3 linked regions of the Coturnix japonica genome follow. The protein of the gene in region 2 interacts with the protein of the main gene of each other region in a pairwise test. Links are inferred from orthologs where the notes say so. Each region holds a gene or a part of one and is shown on either strand. Other genes may lie near its edges.

Region 1 (4,250 bases), on a different chromosome or scaffold from region 2:
CTGGGATGCTTCAACTTACATCAGCCTTGAAGGGGCCAGGCTGTTGGAATAGATGAGCTTTGAAGGTCCCTTCCAAATTTGCCTTGCCTTCCCTTCCCTACCCTACCCACCATACCCTGATCTTTGAAGGTCCCTTCCAAATTAACACCTTGCCTTGCCTTCCCTTCTCTACCTGAAGGTTCCTTCCAAATTAACACCTTGCCTTGCCTTCCCTTTCCTTCCTGAAGGTCCCTTCCAATTAACACCTTTCCCTTCCCTCCCTTCCTTTCCCTTCCCTACCATACCCTGATCTTTGAAGGTCCCTTCCAAATTAACACCTTGCCTTGCCTTCCCTTCCCTACCTGAAGGTCCCTTCCAATTAACACCTTTCCCTTCCCTTCCCTTCCCTTCCCTTCCCTTCCCTTCCCTTCCCTTCCTCTTACTCTCTCCACCACGTGAGCACCCCACCAATTACACACCTTCTTACTCCCCATTACCCTTATCTTCCCCACTCCGTTAACTTCTCGTCACCTCCTGAGCGACTCAGCTCCCGGGCGCTAGAAAGCGGACAAGGGATGGCCGGCCACAGCCCTGCCCTAGGGGCACCTCCAGCCACCTGCAACCACGCCCAGACCTAGAGGCCAAAGACAAAAAAGACCTACGCCGAGCCCCTACGCCAATATGAACACAAATTCTACCCTGTACCCTACCCCCACCTCTGAGCCCTACGCCACCCTCCTACCCTACTAAATGACCTACGTGCAACGTTAGGCCGTACCGAGCAGACTCCCACCCGCTGGGTCACCTACTCCCTAAGTACCCTATGCCTAAGCCCCTACCGCTAATCTTTCCCCAGACCCTAAACGCCATACCCCCTGCCGTACCGCTGAGCCCCATCTGGCCTACCCTACTAAGACCAAATTTAACACCTCTTCTACCCCTAACCCTCTTTACCACACACCCCACCCTCTACTCAGACGCTAAACCCGCCTAGCCTATCTAACACTAACAATTTATTCCTCCCCACCCTACCCAGAACTCACCGCGTCAACACCAATACCTACCCTACCCCACCCCACCCTACCCAACTCTACCCTACCTACAACCTACCCTATCCCACCCCACCCTACCCAACTCTACCCTACCTACAACCTACCCTACCCTACCAATTAACACCTTCTACCCTACCCTACAACCTACCCTACCCTACAACCTACCCTACTCTACCCCACCCTAACCCTACCCTACCCTAACACCTCCTACCCTACCCTACCCTACCCCACCCTACCCTACCAATTAACACCTTCTACCCTACCCTACCCCACCCTACCCTACCCGCCACAAGATGGCAGCGCTGATGCACGGTCGTTTCGCACCATAGAGTCGGATCCAGAGCGGCCCGACAACGCCGCCATTTCCTTTTCCGGCGGCGGTGGGAGGGAGGAAGAGGAGGAGGAGGAGGGGGAGGCGGTGTTGGCTGCGCCATGAGTTTCCTGAAGCGGTTCCCGCCGCCGGCCGATGGTGTCCGGCACCGGCAGCCCGACACGGAGGCGGTGCTGTCGGGCCGCAGTCTGGGTGCCGGGACGCTCTACATAGCAGAGAGGTGAGCGGGGTCTATGGGGGCGGTTATGAGGGCTGTGGGTGCGCTGTAGGCCGCGGGGGGTGCGCTGAGGGGAACGATTGGATTTGATTTGCTTCTCTCCAGGTTCAGGTACTAATTTCTAACTTCTCTCTTACGTGTGTTTCTCTTTAACCCCCTTTTTAGCCGCCTGTCATGGCTGGAAAACTCAGGAGTTGGCTTCTCCTTGGATTATCCCACCATAAGTTTACATGCTGTCTCCAGGGACCTGAACGCGTACCCCTGGGAGCACCTGTATGTCATGGTGAACGCCAGGTTTGAAGGTAAGGCCCACCATCCCTCCCTCAAAAAGGGAATTAGTTTTGCTTTTTAAAGCCTAAACCCTTAATTCAAGCAGTATCTTTTCATCTCCGTGAAGGATAATTACAGTAGGGCTGAAGTTTCATTAAAAGACAGTGATTCGTGTTATTGAGCTTAATAGATATTCATAGCATTCCCACTCCTGCCAGACCCTTTAATGCTTTTAAGTCTCATCAACTCTGCTGTATTGTATCATTTGAAGAGCAGTGAGTGCTAAGCCTTGAAGAAAGATGTTATTTCCAGCTTCTAATTGTTACAGTGATACTTGAAAATCTTTCCTGTGATAATTCCAGTCAATAAAACCTCAATGAGTTGACATAAAAGAATTCAAAACCTCGATAGATCGACATAAAAGAATTCTGGCCACAGTAGGTGCCCAGCTAAGGGTGAGTCTGAGTGTTCAGCTCTCATGTCTGTCCCTGACCGACCCATGGTTTTAACTGTTTAAAACAGTGTTATATGGAAACATCACTGCTTTGCTGGCTGCAGGAGTCTTGATTTTCAGTTGGGCACAGTACATCTTGTTCTTCTTTGGATGTTTTAGTAGTGCTCTGTGTGTATATTTGCCTCATTTTCAGCCTTCTTTAGAGGAAGGCAGGCAGGGGTTGACTTGGTTGAAAACAAAGAGCTGGATGTAGCAGCAGCAGCAAACTGAGCATGGGGAGGTCAATTCCAAAGGGACTGGGTGAATTCCTTGGATGTATCATTGTTTGGCTGGCAGCTTCTTGGCATCTTCGTGTTCTTCTCGTTGCCAGTTCTGTTCATAATAAAAGCCACTCTTTGTGAATACAGCTTTACTCTAGTCCTCTTTTGCTGTAGAAAGTAACCATGCAGTTTTGAAGCTGTCAGTTCAACCTCCCCAGCCACAAAGGGATGAGCTGTAAGCTGTATCCTGCGTGGATTTTGTTTTTACGGAAGTAGAACATCGTGTTCTTGCTCACTTATTCAATTATGTGGTACACAGTAGTCAGGAAGCAAAGTTTTACCCGCAGCTGACATGGGCTGTGGGGAGACTTTTTGCTTCATTGCTTTAGTGGTTTGCTAAGAACACAAGAAATTGAGTATGGCCTCCTGTCAACGTCAGTCCTATGTGGGAGGCCAGACTGGAAACTGGCTGATCTCAGGGCAGCAGTGCAAGGGATCCCTAATACCTAAGATTCTTAAGTTAACGATTGTATACGTAGCTCAACCGCTCTGCGGTTAAGCAGTAAGGATTGTGGATTACATGAATGCTATAGAAAACTTGGCTCCTCAAATTGAAAGCAGAGTTCTTGTGTGCATTGCAAGCTTCTCCAGGGTGCTGTGAGAGGACCCTGTGTGTCTGCAGATGGATGGGAGCAGGTTTGTTTGTTGCAGGCTCTGTCCGGGTTTCTGATTTGCTTATGGTTCTAAAGGTGCTAAAGCTGTCTCTTTTTTTGGATAAAATAATCATTTTTCTCTTTTAATCTGAATTTCCTGAAGAGGAGGAGACAAAGGAGGCCCCCATGGCTGAAGGGGAGGAGGAAGACAGCGATGATGACATCGAACCAATTGCAGAGTTCAGATTTGTGCCTAGCGACAAATCAGCCTGTAAGTGATGGGGAAGGGGTGCTGTACCTGATGTGAATGGCACAGGCCTTCAGTGTCTTCTTAGCATTTAATTAGGAACATGCTAATGTTCAGATGCTACCACTGGAAAACAATCATACCCTGTCTTGTGGGGAGCTTCCAGTTGGATCCAATTTCTAAGCATCTGACACATTAGATACTGCAAGGACTCCTGAGGTGGGTAACCACTGACTGAGTTGCTGCTGTTGCCTCTGTTGAACCTTTGTCATCAGTGACATGATGGAAGCATGCGTGGAGAACTAGGTTGGATTAAATCTGATGTTAATCTGGAGAGTCTGGTCATGCCACATCTGGTTGCCACCTGTTGTGACTTCCTAACCTTGAAGTGTGCCAAGCCCTAATGTCAGATCAGACTTCTGATTTTCAACCCTTGCAAGTAGAGCAACTATTAAAATACAGTGCAAAAGCTGCTTCTAACAGCATCTTAGCTGAAGTTGCCACTTCCTAGCTGAGGAGGGAGCCTGATTTTGCAGGTGTGGTTCCTGGAAGTCCAGCTGTGCTTCCAGCTGCTGGGTGGAACTGCAGGTTCCCTGCTCGCCAGCTGAGAGGCGCCAGCCCTACTGAGCACTTGCACTTCACAGCTGCCAACTGAAAGATAACTCCTGGTGTCTTTCCTTTGGGCTGCTTGCTGAGATGATTCTGTTTTGTTCGTACAGTGGAAGCCATGTTTTCAGCAATGTGTGAATGCCAAGCTCTGCACCCAGACCCAGAAGATGAGGATTCA
Region 2 (4,295 bases):
CCTCCCATTCATCTTCACTTTCATCATCGTCATCATCATCATCAGTATTGTCTTCATCCATCTCTTTTTTAATAGGAGATTCTCTCTTCAACTTTACCTCCTTCTGAGGGGCCTTCACTGAGTCACTATTAAAATTACAAGAATGGTTTTAGCATCAGGAAGTGCATGGGTTTGTTCATTTAAAAATGGAAGGGAATGAAAACAAAAATGAGGAAATAAACAAAGCATCATCTCTGCATCAGTAACAACAGATGTAAAGGTTGTAAGTATTTGACAACTGAACCGTGTGTGTGCCTGTAAAGCGAGCAGTCTTTGCCATGAATAATTACAGGCTCGTTGAACAACAACGTTTCAGTGCAGACACAGGTCCTGGTTCTAACAGGTTGTTTGAATGAAGATGACTGAACCTAAAAACAATGACCCATCTTTCCTAACAGCTTGTATGAATGTCTTCATTGAATCATTTGTCTTTACTGAGACCTCATAATGCACTGGGATTGGAAGTGCTTGTGTTTCACTACGCTAACACCCAATGATTTGGTTGGCCAGTGAAATGAGACCAAGCAGCTTCATTCTTCTCATTAATACAATCCCCCTTGAAATCTCTACAGGAAGACCATATATCTCACAGCAATGTTTCTGTTCATGCTCGATGCCATAAAACCTCCCTAGTCTTGTGTAGAAATAAATGAAACGCTATCTTACAATTACGATATTGATTTGAAAAGGCTCAGATATTTGCTTCCCATGCAGACTGCCTTCCTCAGACAGATCCTGCCATCAGCCAGGCAGTACTTCTGTACAGCTGTGTGTCACAGACAAACTAAACTGGCCTGCCAGCTTAACGTAACCCCTTTATGTGAACATTGTAGGGCAATGGACCCTACACAACAACCACAACATCCAACCCACAACAACCACAACATCCAACCCACAACAACCACAACATCCAACCCACAGTGAGGTACAGAGCGCATCATGATGAACAACAGCTAAGCTTACCTGCACTTTTCCTCTTCGTGATCATCCCCTTTATTTTCAGGGTCTCTCTCATTTTCTTTCACTCGCCCTTTTACCCCTTTTTGTTTTGAAGGCTTCTCTGCTAACTTAGCAATTCCAGCATCACTGTCTTCCTCCTTCTTCCTAGCTGCAACTCCGGCTCTGCTCTTCTTTACACTGTGTTTTTCTTCAACAAAATCACCTACATCGAAAAGAAAGAAATTTTCTTCATGGATATAACCTCATCCCTATGGATACATAGCAATATCTCTGCAGGCTCCAGCAGAGCTGCACTGAACAACTCCAGCCCCGGCCCATCATGGGGGGCTGCTGAGCTCCATGCTGACTGCCTCCCTCCCTCAAAGCAGAGCAGCCCCAGAAGCCGAGCCTCCCACACTCACCCTCCTCACGTTCCTCCGCACCATCCCGCCGTACTCCCACCCCTCCAGGCCGCCTTTTGCCGGCAGACACCCGCTGAACCGACGCTTTGCGCTTCCTCGCCATAGCGGCGAGCATTACCCCGCCCCTTCAGAGCGGGGGGAAGAGGCCGGGCCATAAAGTATCACGAGAGAGAGCGAGAAGCGGTTTGAAAGATGGCGGACGAGGTGGATCAGGTGAATGGCTCTTTACTTTTCTTAGGGGGGAGCGGTGTTTCTGCGGCCACCCCGGCTGCCAAGTGAGGTGGTGAGGGCCTGAAGAGAGAGCTGGTGGGTTGGTGGCACATCCGTGTGCCTTCCCTTTGCCATATGCCGTGCTGCCGTGTTGGTTTGAGCCATGCAGCCTGTCTGCTTCTGTGTGGATACTGGGACTTGAGGGAGCGTTTCAGAATGCAAACTGAGGAGTGGAGGAGTTCGTATTCACTGCTCCTGCGTGAATAACTGCTTGTTTCGGTGTTGTTTTCAGCAACAGACAACGAATACCGTCGAGGAGCCCCTCGACCTCATCAGGCTCAGTCTGGATGAGAGGATCTATGTGAAGATGAGGAATGACAGAGAGCTCAGAGGCAGGCTGCATGTGAGTGCCAATTCCAAGCAGGCAGCAGGCTGTGCTGTTATGTGCAACTATTTGTTATGTTACTGTAATGTGCTCAACAGCAGCGCTTGGTTTGTGCAGTGTTCTGCCAGAGATTCAAAAGGTGCATTTTGTTTTTCCGTGTCTGTTGTCTTTTAAATGATTCCAAGTGATTCGTTCTCTTGATTTTTGCTTTTATTCCCATGTCTGTGGACTAAGTAATAATGCAGGCATCATCTCATAAAGGACTCTCGACTCTGTTAAGATGGAAATAAGTATATCAAGCAACTGTCTTGTAGAGCAAACCCAAGGACTGCTGGGATGTGTACTCAGCTGGGTTCTCTCCATACTTGATTTGTTCTTTGTTTTCTTTTGAGAGCGATGTCTCTTAGTGAGACAAACTTTTGTTTTCTGTTTGGTTGTGTTATCCTTCTGGAATGTGGTGCTGTGCTGAGGAAGGGAACCAGTTTCCCATGTGGTAACTGGGCCTCAAATACATTTGAGAACAAAAAGGTGAGGACAGATCTGTGATGCACTGGTATAATTCCTAAGTTCCCTTTGTAGGGTGTTTGGAACAAGTGCTTAATTAAAATTTATGTATTGTTGTTTGAGTTACAGCTCTCATAGCTATAGATAATCCAATCCCAGAAATCTGGGCTGATAGCAAATAATATTTAGTTGGATTAATGCTAACGACAAGAACAAGTGTGTCCACCTCTGAGAGTTTGTGCATGAGCTTCAGAAGGAGAGTTTCAGTGAGTATAAGAGCCTTCCTTATGCTGTGGAGTACTGATGTTGGCCTTTATAGTTGAAGTTACAGCTGATACATCATGTTCACACATGGAACATCTTGACCCAAATCAGGTTAAAATAATTTTGTTTGAGTGTCTTGCTAGAATTATGGATTTAATGAGCTTGTGCTTGAATTTTGGAAGAAGTAATGAACTTTGTTCCTACAGGCATATGATCAGCACTTAAATATGATTCTGGGCGATGTGGAAGAAACTGTAACAACAATAGAGATTGACGAAGAAACATACGAAGAGATTTATAAAGTAAGGACTTCAGTGTATTTACCTCCATAGAAAACTTCTTGCAATCTAGATTGTCATGTTGTCAAAATAATGTGTTGATAACTGCACCTTTTGGACTAGGATCTAGCAGGTGTTTTAGGCAAATTGTTATGAAAGCACAAAGGACATCCAGGTGCTTGTTGATTTTGATATCTTCAGCAGGACGCGAAGTTGCATGTTTGAGCTGATGTTTGTTGGTGTTTTTTTAGGATTGAATTTTGTCACATGCTTAGTAGATGTGTTCTGTATACTTCTCTTTTGTAAATGTAATCTTTTCTTTGCTTCTTCATAGTCTACCAAAAGGAATATTCCGATGCTCTTTGTCAGAGGTGACGGCGTTGTGCTTGTAGCTCCCCCGCTGAGGGTTGGCTGAAGCAACCAAGGATTGAACCTTCTTGGAAGGTTTCAGGCTCTTGGACGATTTGTTTTGATCATGTCTCAGAATTGCATACACTTTTTAATAGAACGTTTTTGCCTATTTTTTGTGGAAGAGGAATGAGTTTTTCTTGCAGAAAGTACCTGTCAGCTGAAGCAGTGTGAAAACCTCATTTTCCCCTGAATTAATGTAACTGCTGTAAATGAGCTGTGTGTGACATAAGTAAAAGCACCCTGTTTTTTCAATCTTGGGAATAGCAGTGTCTTTTTTTGTTTGTTTTAAATAAATTTGGTTTACCTTTCAGATTTGATGTGTTATGTTTTTGTTGAAAAGGTGATTTTAATGAACTTCTCTAGTGCTAATGCTGTATTAAGTTGTGATAATGTGGCTTTGCTTCCTGAGAAAGCAGTGACTTGTTTGGTGTTTTGATTTTTGTCCATACTGAAGTTTTCCAGATTGATGTTTTGGAGGAGGGCAACACTGTGTTGGTCTATGGTGTACTAATCTATGGTTTTATGTAAACATATCCTTGTAGGAGAGAAATTCTGTGTCCTGCTTAAAATGCATTGATAGAATAGAATTTTTACAGCTTTTTCAGATGCTTCTCTTGCAGCTTTGTTAGCAGAGCAAAGCTTAGCAATACCATCAGTAGGAAACAAATTTAGTAGCCTGATTTATGCATTCATTTGCCACCATTTGTAGCCATTTTCAGTTCTTGAACACATTAAATTCTGTAGAAAACCAAAGATGCTTCCTGGTTATCAGTGGGTGCACAAGAGCCTTGTACACTGCTTTTTTTAATACATAGTTTCTCAGGCCTTCCTGATTGCACTTTA
Region 3 (2,923 bases), on a different chromosome or scaffold from region 2:
GCGCTCATTGGATAGCTGAAGCAGCGCCCGGATGTGATTGGCTGCGAGAGGGGTGTTGATAGAGTGATGGGAGGCGAGCACTAATTGGCTGAGTGGTGATGATTGATTGGCTGATGAGAGATAACTCTCTCCGTTGATTGGTGCATGCTGTGTGAGCGGGTTGGTCGGCGGGCGGGATGTTATCCGCGCTTTGATTGGAAGAGAAACACCTCAAGGCCCGCCCCCTCCCACCCGCGCATGCGCACTGCTCCACCGCCCCCATGCGTGGTGCTAGGCCTTAAGATGGACGCCATGATGGCAGTACCCCATGCACTGCCCACTGCCCACCCTCAGACCAGGCCCATGCAGGCAGCCAGGCCCCAGGAGCTATAGATACAGCCCTATAGAGCCTATAGGCAACGAGCACTGAGGCCAAAAGGGCTTTAAGAGCTGGAAATCCATAAGGAGAGGGATAAAGGAGCAGCTGCCAGCCCTATAGAGCCTGTAGGCAATGATCAGTGTGGCCAAAAGGGCTTTAAGAGCTGGAAATACATAAAGAGAGGGATGGAGGAGTAGCTGGCAGCCCTATAGAGCCTATAGGCAATGATCACTGCAGAGCCAAGCACTGAGGCCAAAAGGGCTTTGTTTGAGAGCTGGAAAAACATAAGGACAGGGATAAAGGAGTAGCTGCCATTACACAGGGATGGAGCTTCCAAGCTGGGCTGTTGATTGAGGAATGGGGCTCATTTGTGCTTGGCTCGAGGGAACTCCCTCCTGCCCTTGTCGCGGCCCCCGAAGTAGCGCACGCGGTGGATGGCCTGCAGCTGCCGCTCGATGGTGGCCCTGATGTCCACCCCATCCGGGATGTGCACGTAGCGCACGTTCCTGCCCGCCACGAACATCTCGTCCAGCTGCGACACCTCCCCTCGTCTGTCCGTGAACGTCACCTGGGCCAGGCGGATGTTCATGAAGGCGTCGACGTTGGACACTCGTCCCGTGGCCGTGCTCTCGTCGCGGAGATCCACGGTGGTGACGTGGCCGTGCAGACCTTGCAGCAGGATCACCAGGCTGTTCTCGGCGATGGTGCGCTCCTTGACTGAGTGGCTGACCTCCATGGTGGGGCTGCAGCATATGAATGGGGAGATGCACCACCAGCACCTCCACCTGCAGGACTCGTGTATATACACACCAGCATGGCAGCTCCATCGCCTGCCTCCTCCCCTTGCACGCCCAGTGCTCATCACATCCCCCCCTTTGCACACAGGGGTGCCCCCACCCCCTTTATGCACTCACACAACTCCCACCCCACACATTCAGACCCCCACCCAAAACCCACACTCACCCCCGCAGCTCCCTCACCCCACTTTTAGCCCCCATCCCACTCACCGCCCGGCAACATGAAGGGGCGGCCCCTGTTTCTCGCTGCCCCGCTTGATCCCTCCCCGTTCGTCCCCGCCCCACTCGTCGGCTCGGAGGCAGGATGGAAGAAACGCCTTTAATGGCTCACAACCCGTCCATCAGAGCCAGCAGGTCCTCTCCCTTCCCGCAGCTCTCCTCGCACTGTTCCGCCACCTGCAGGTCGCCCATGATTCGATCCAGCTCCGCTCTCCTCGCCGGCTCCTGAGTAGAGATAAAGGCTCAGCCAGGCGATAAATAAAGCTCTTATCGTAGTAGTTTGAATGTATGTGAATTGCAGCTGAACGTACCTCGGTGGCTTCAATGTTCACAACCTTGTATGAGAACTCCTCGGGTCTTGTCAGCGCCGCCTGCCTTTAATTGAAAATATAGAGTGCTTAATGTGGTGCCATCCTGTCACATCCCACCCGTTCCACAGGTCAGTAGTGTTTTTCAATGGTCCATGCAAGAAGGTGGTAAGCGACTCGTACCTATGAGAAATTTAGACAGCACTGCTGTTTCTAGCAGGCAAACTAGGATGCTGATCCCATTTTGGAGACTGAACCCTGCTTTGGGTTTTCTGATGCTAAATGTAAAGCAGTGGAAACGTCTCCCTGCCAGGAGGGGGCTGCAGTGCTCCAGCCTATCTGCCTCCTCACCTCCCTTCACTTATTGCATCTCTCTGAAGTGACTGTAGGACAGGAAAGCTAAGGGTGCTGAAGGCACACACCAGACTGTCAGTGCCCCAGCATCACCTGAAGGCAGTATTAAAGCTGTTAAGGATCAGCTTCAGCCTCCAGGTTTTGTCCACGTATCATTAAATCACAACCCCCAGACCACAACCAGCTGCATCATACTCTTCTTCTTCATCTGTCATGAATAAATTCAGTCGGAATCCTGTCTCACTGCCACTAGGTTTCTTGATGTCCAGACCTCCCAGCAGCCTGGCCAAGAAGTTCAGTTCTTCTTTAGCAAGAGGGTTAGGGGTTATATTCTCCTGCAGAAAACAGCAATGGGTTCATTGGTCAGGTTACCAGGAAGAAGAGGACTAACAAAGCTACTATATTCTCATATTACCTCAATATACACAAACACATTCATGTACTGTTAATGATACAGGCAACTCATCATTATTAGTCATGGGTTAATAAGGTGGTTGCTTGAATTTCTAGACCCAGGACAAGGCAGTTTTCCAGCTAAATCAAAGTGAAATCAGCAAACTCAGCTCCCTGTTTTCTGAAGAAGTTAAAAAGAGGAAGCAAGATTTCAGCAGGCCACTTCATCAGCTTATGTCTACTATTACTTAGGGAAACGTGCCCATAGCCTCACTCAGATGGGGTCATGGAGAACTGCTGAGGTTTGGAGAGAAAGAAGTAAACAGGTACCCTGAGAGCACTAACTCAAATGATGTTACATGAGAAAGGAGATAAATGAAAGAGAATGCAGCTATCCAGTGAATGAGTTGGAGAAGGGCAGCGTGTGTGCTTGATCCAGTGACCCCAGCTATTAAGAGATGGGGGAAACAGAATGTAAAGTCTGATGGGTGCAG

What was found.
Region 1: the proteins of LSM3 (region 2) and CLNS1A interact in binary tests that used the Homo sapiens proteins (3 or more experiments, as listed by UniProt). The link is inferred for Coturnix japonica from reciprocal best matches to the Homo sapiens genes LSM3 and CLNS1A.
Region 3: the proteins of LSM3 (region 2) and LSM10 interact in binary tests that used the Homo sapiens proteins (3 or more experiments, as listed by UniProt). The link is inferred for Coturnix japonica from reciprocal best matches to the Homo sapiens genes LSM3 and LSM10.

What each region holds. Positions count from the first base shown.
Region 1 is NC_029516.1:172,769,442-172,773,691, forward strand, and holds the start of CLNS1A (methylosome subunit pICln), read left to right. Parts: upstream 1-1,392; 5' UTR 1,393-1,463; coding exon 1,464-1,582; intron 1,583-1,744; coding exon 1,745-1,881; intron 1,882-3,379; coding exon 3,380-3,487; intron 3,488-4,182; coding exon 4,183-4,250. UniProt on the Homo sapiens protein: Involved in both the assembly of spliceosomal snRNPs and the methylation of Sm proteins.
Region 2 is NC_029527.1:8,367,139-8,371,433, forward strand, and holds LSM3 (U6 snRNA-associated Sm-like protein LSm3), read left to right. Parts: upstream 1-1,515; 5' UTR 1,516-1,592; coding exon 1,593-1,613; intron 1,614-1,902; coding exon 1,903-2,013; intron 2,014-2,969; coding exon 2,970-3,065; intron 3,066-3,375; coding exon 3,376-3,456; 3' UTR 3,457-3,764; downstream 3,765-4,295. Other genes in the region: XPC (DNA repair protein complementing XP-C cells), read right to left, coding at 1-125, 1,003-1,201, 1,401-1,515. UniProt on the Homo sapiens protein: Plays a role in pre-mRNA splicing as component of the U4/U6-U5 tri-snRNP complex that is involved in spliceosome assembly, and as component of the precatalytic spliceosome (spliceosome B complex).
Region 3 is NC_029538.1:3,590,795-3,593,717, reverse strand, and holds LSM10 (U7 snRNA-associated Sm-like protein LSm10), read right to left. Parts: upstream 1,474-2,923; 5' UTR 1,366-1,473; intron 1,102-1,365; 5' UTR 1,095-1,101; coding exon 723-1,094; 3' UTR 605-722; downstream 1-604. Other genes in the region: protein OSCP1, read right to left, coding at 1,483-1,599, 1,686-1,749, 2,232-2,371. UniProt on the Homo sapiens protein: Appears to function in the U7 snRNP complex that is involved in histone 3'-end processing. Increases U7 snRNA levels but not histone 3'-end pre-mRNA processing activity, when overexpressed. Required for cell cycle progression from G1 to S phases.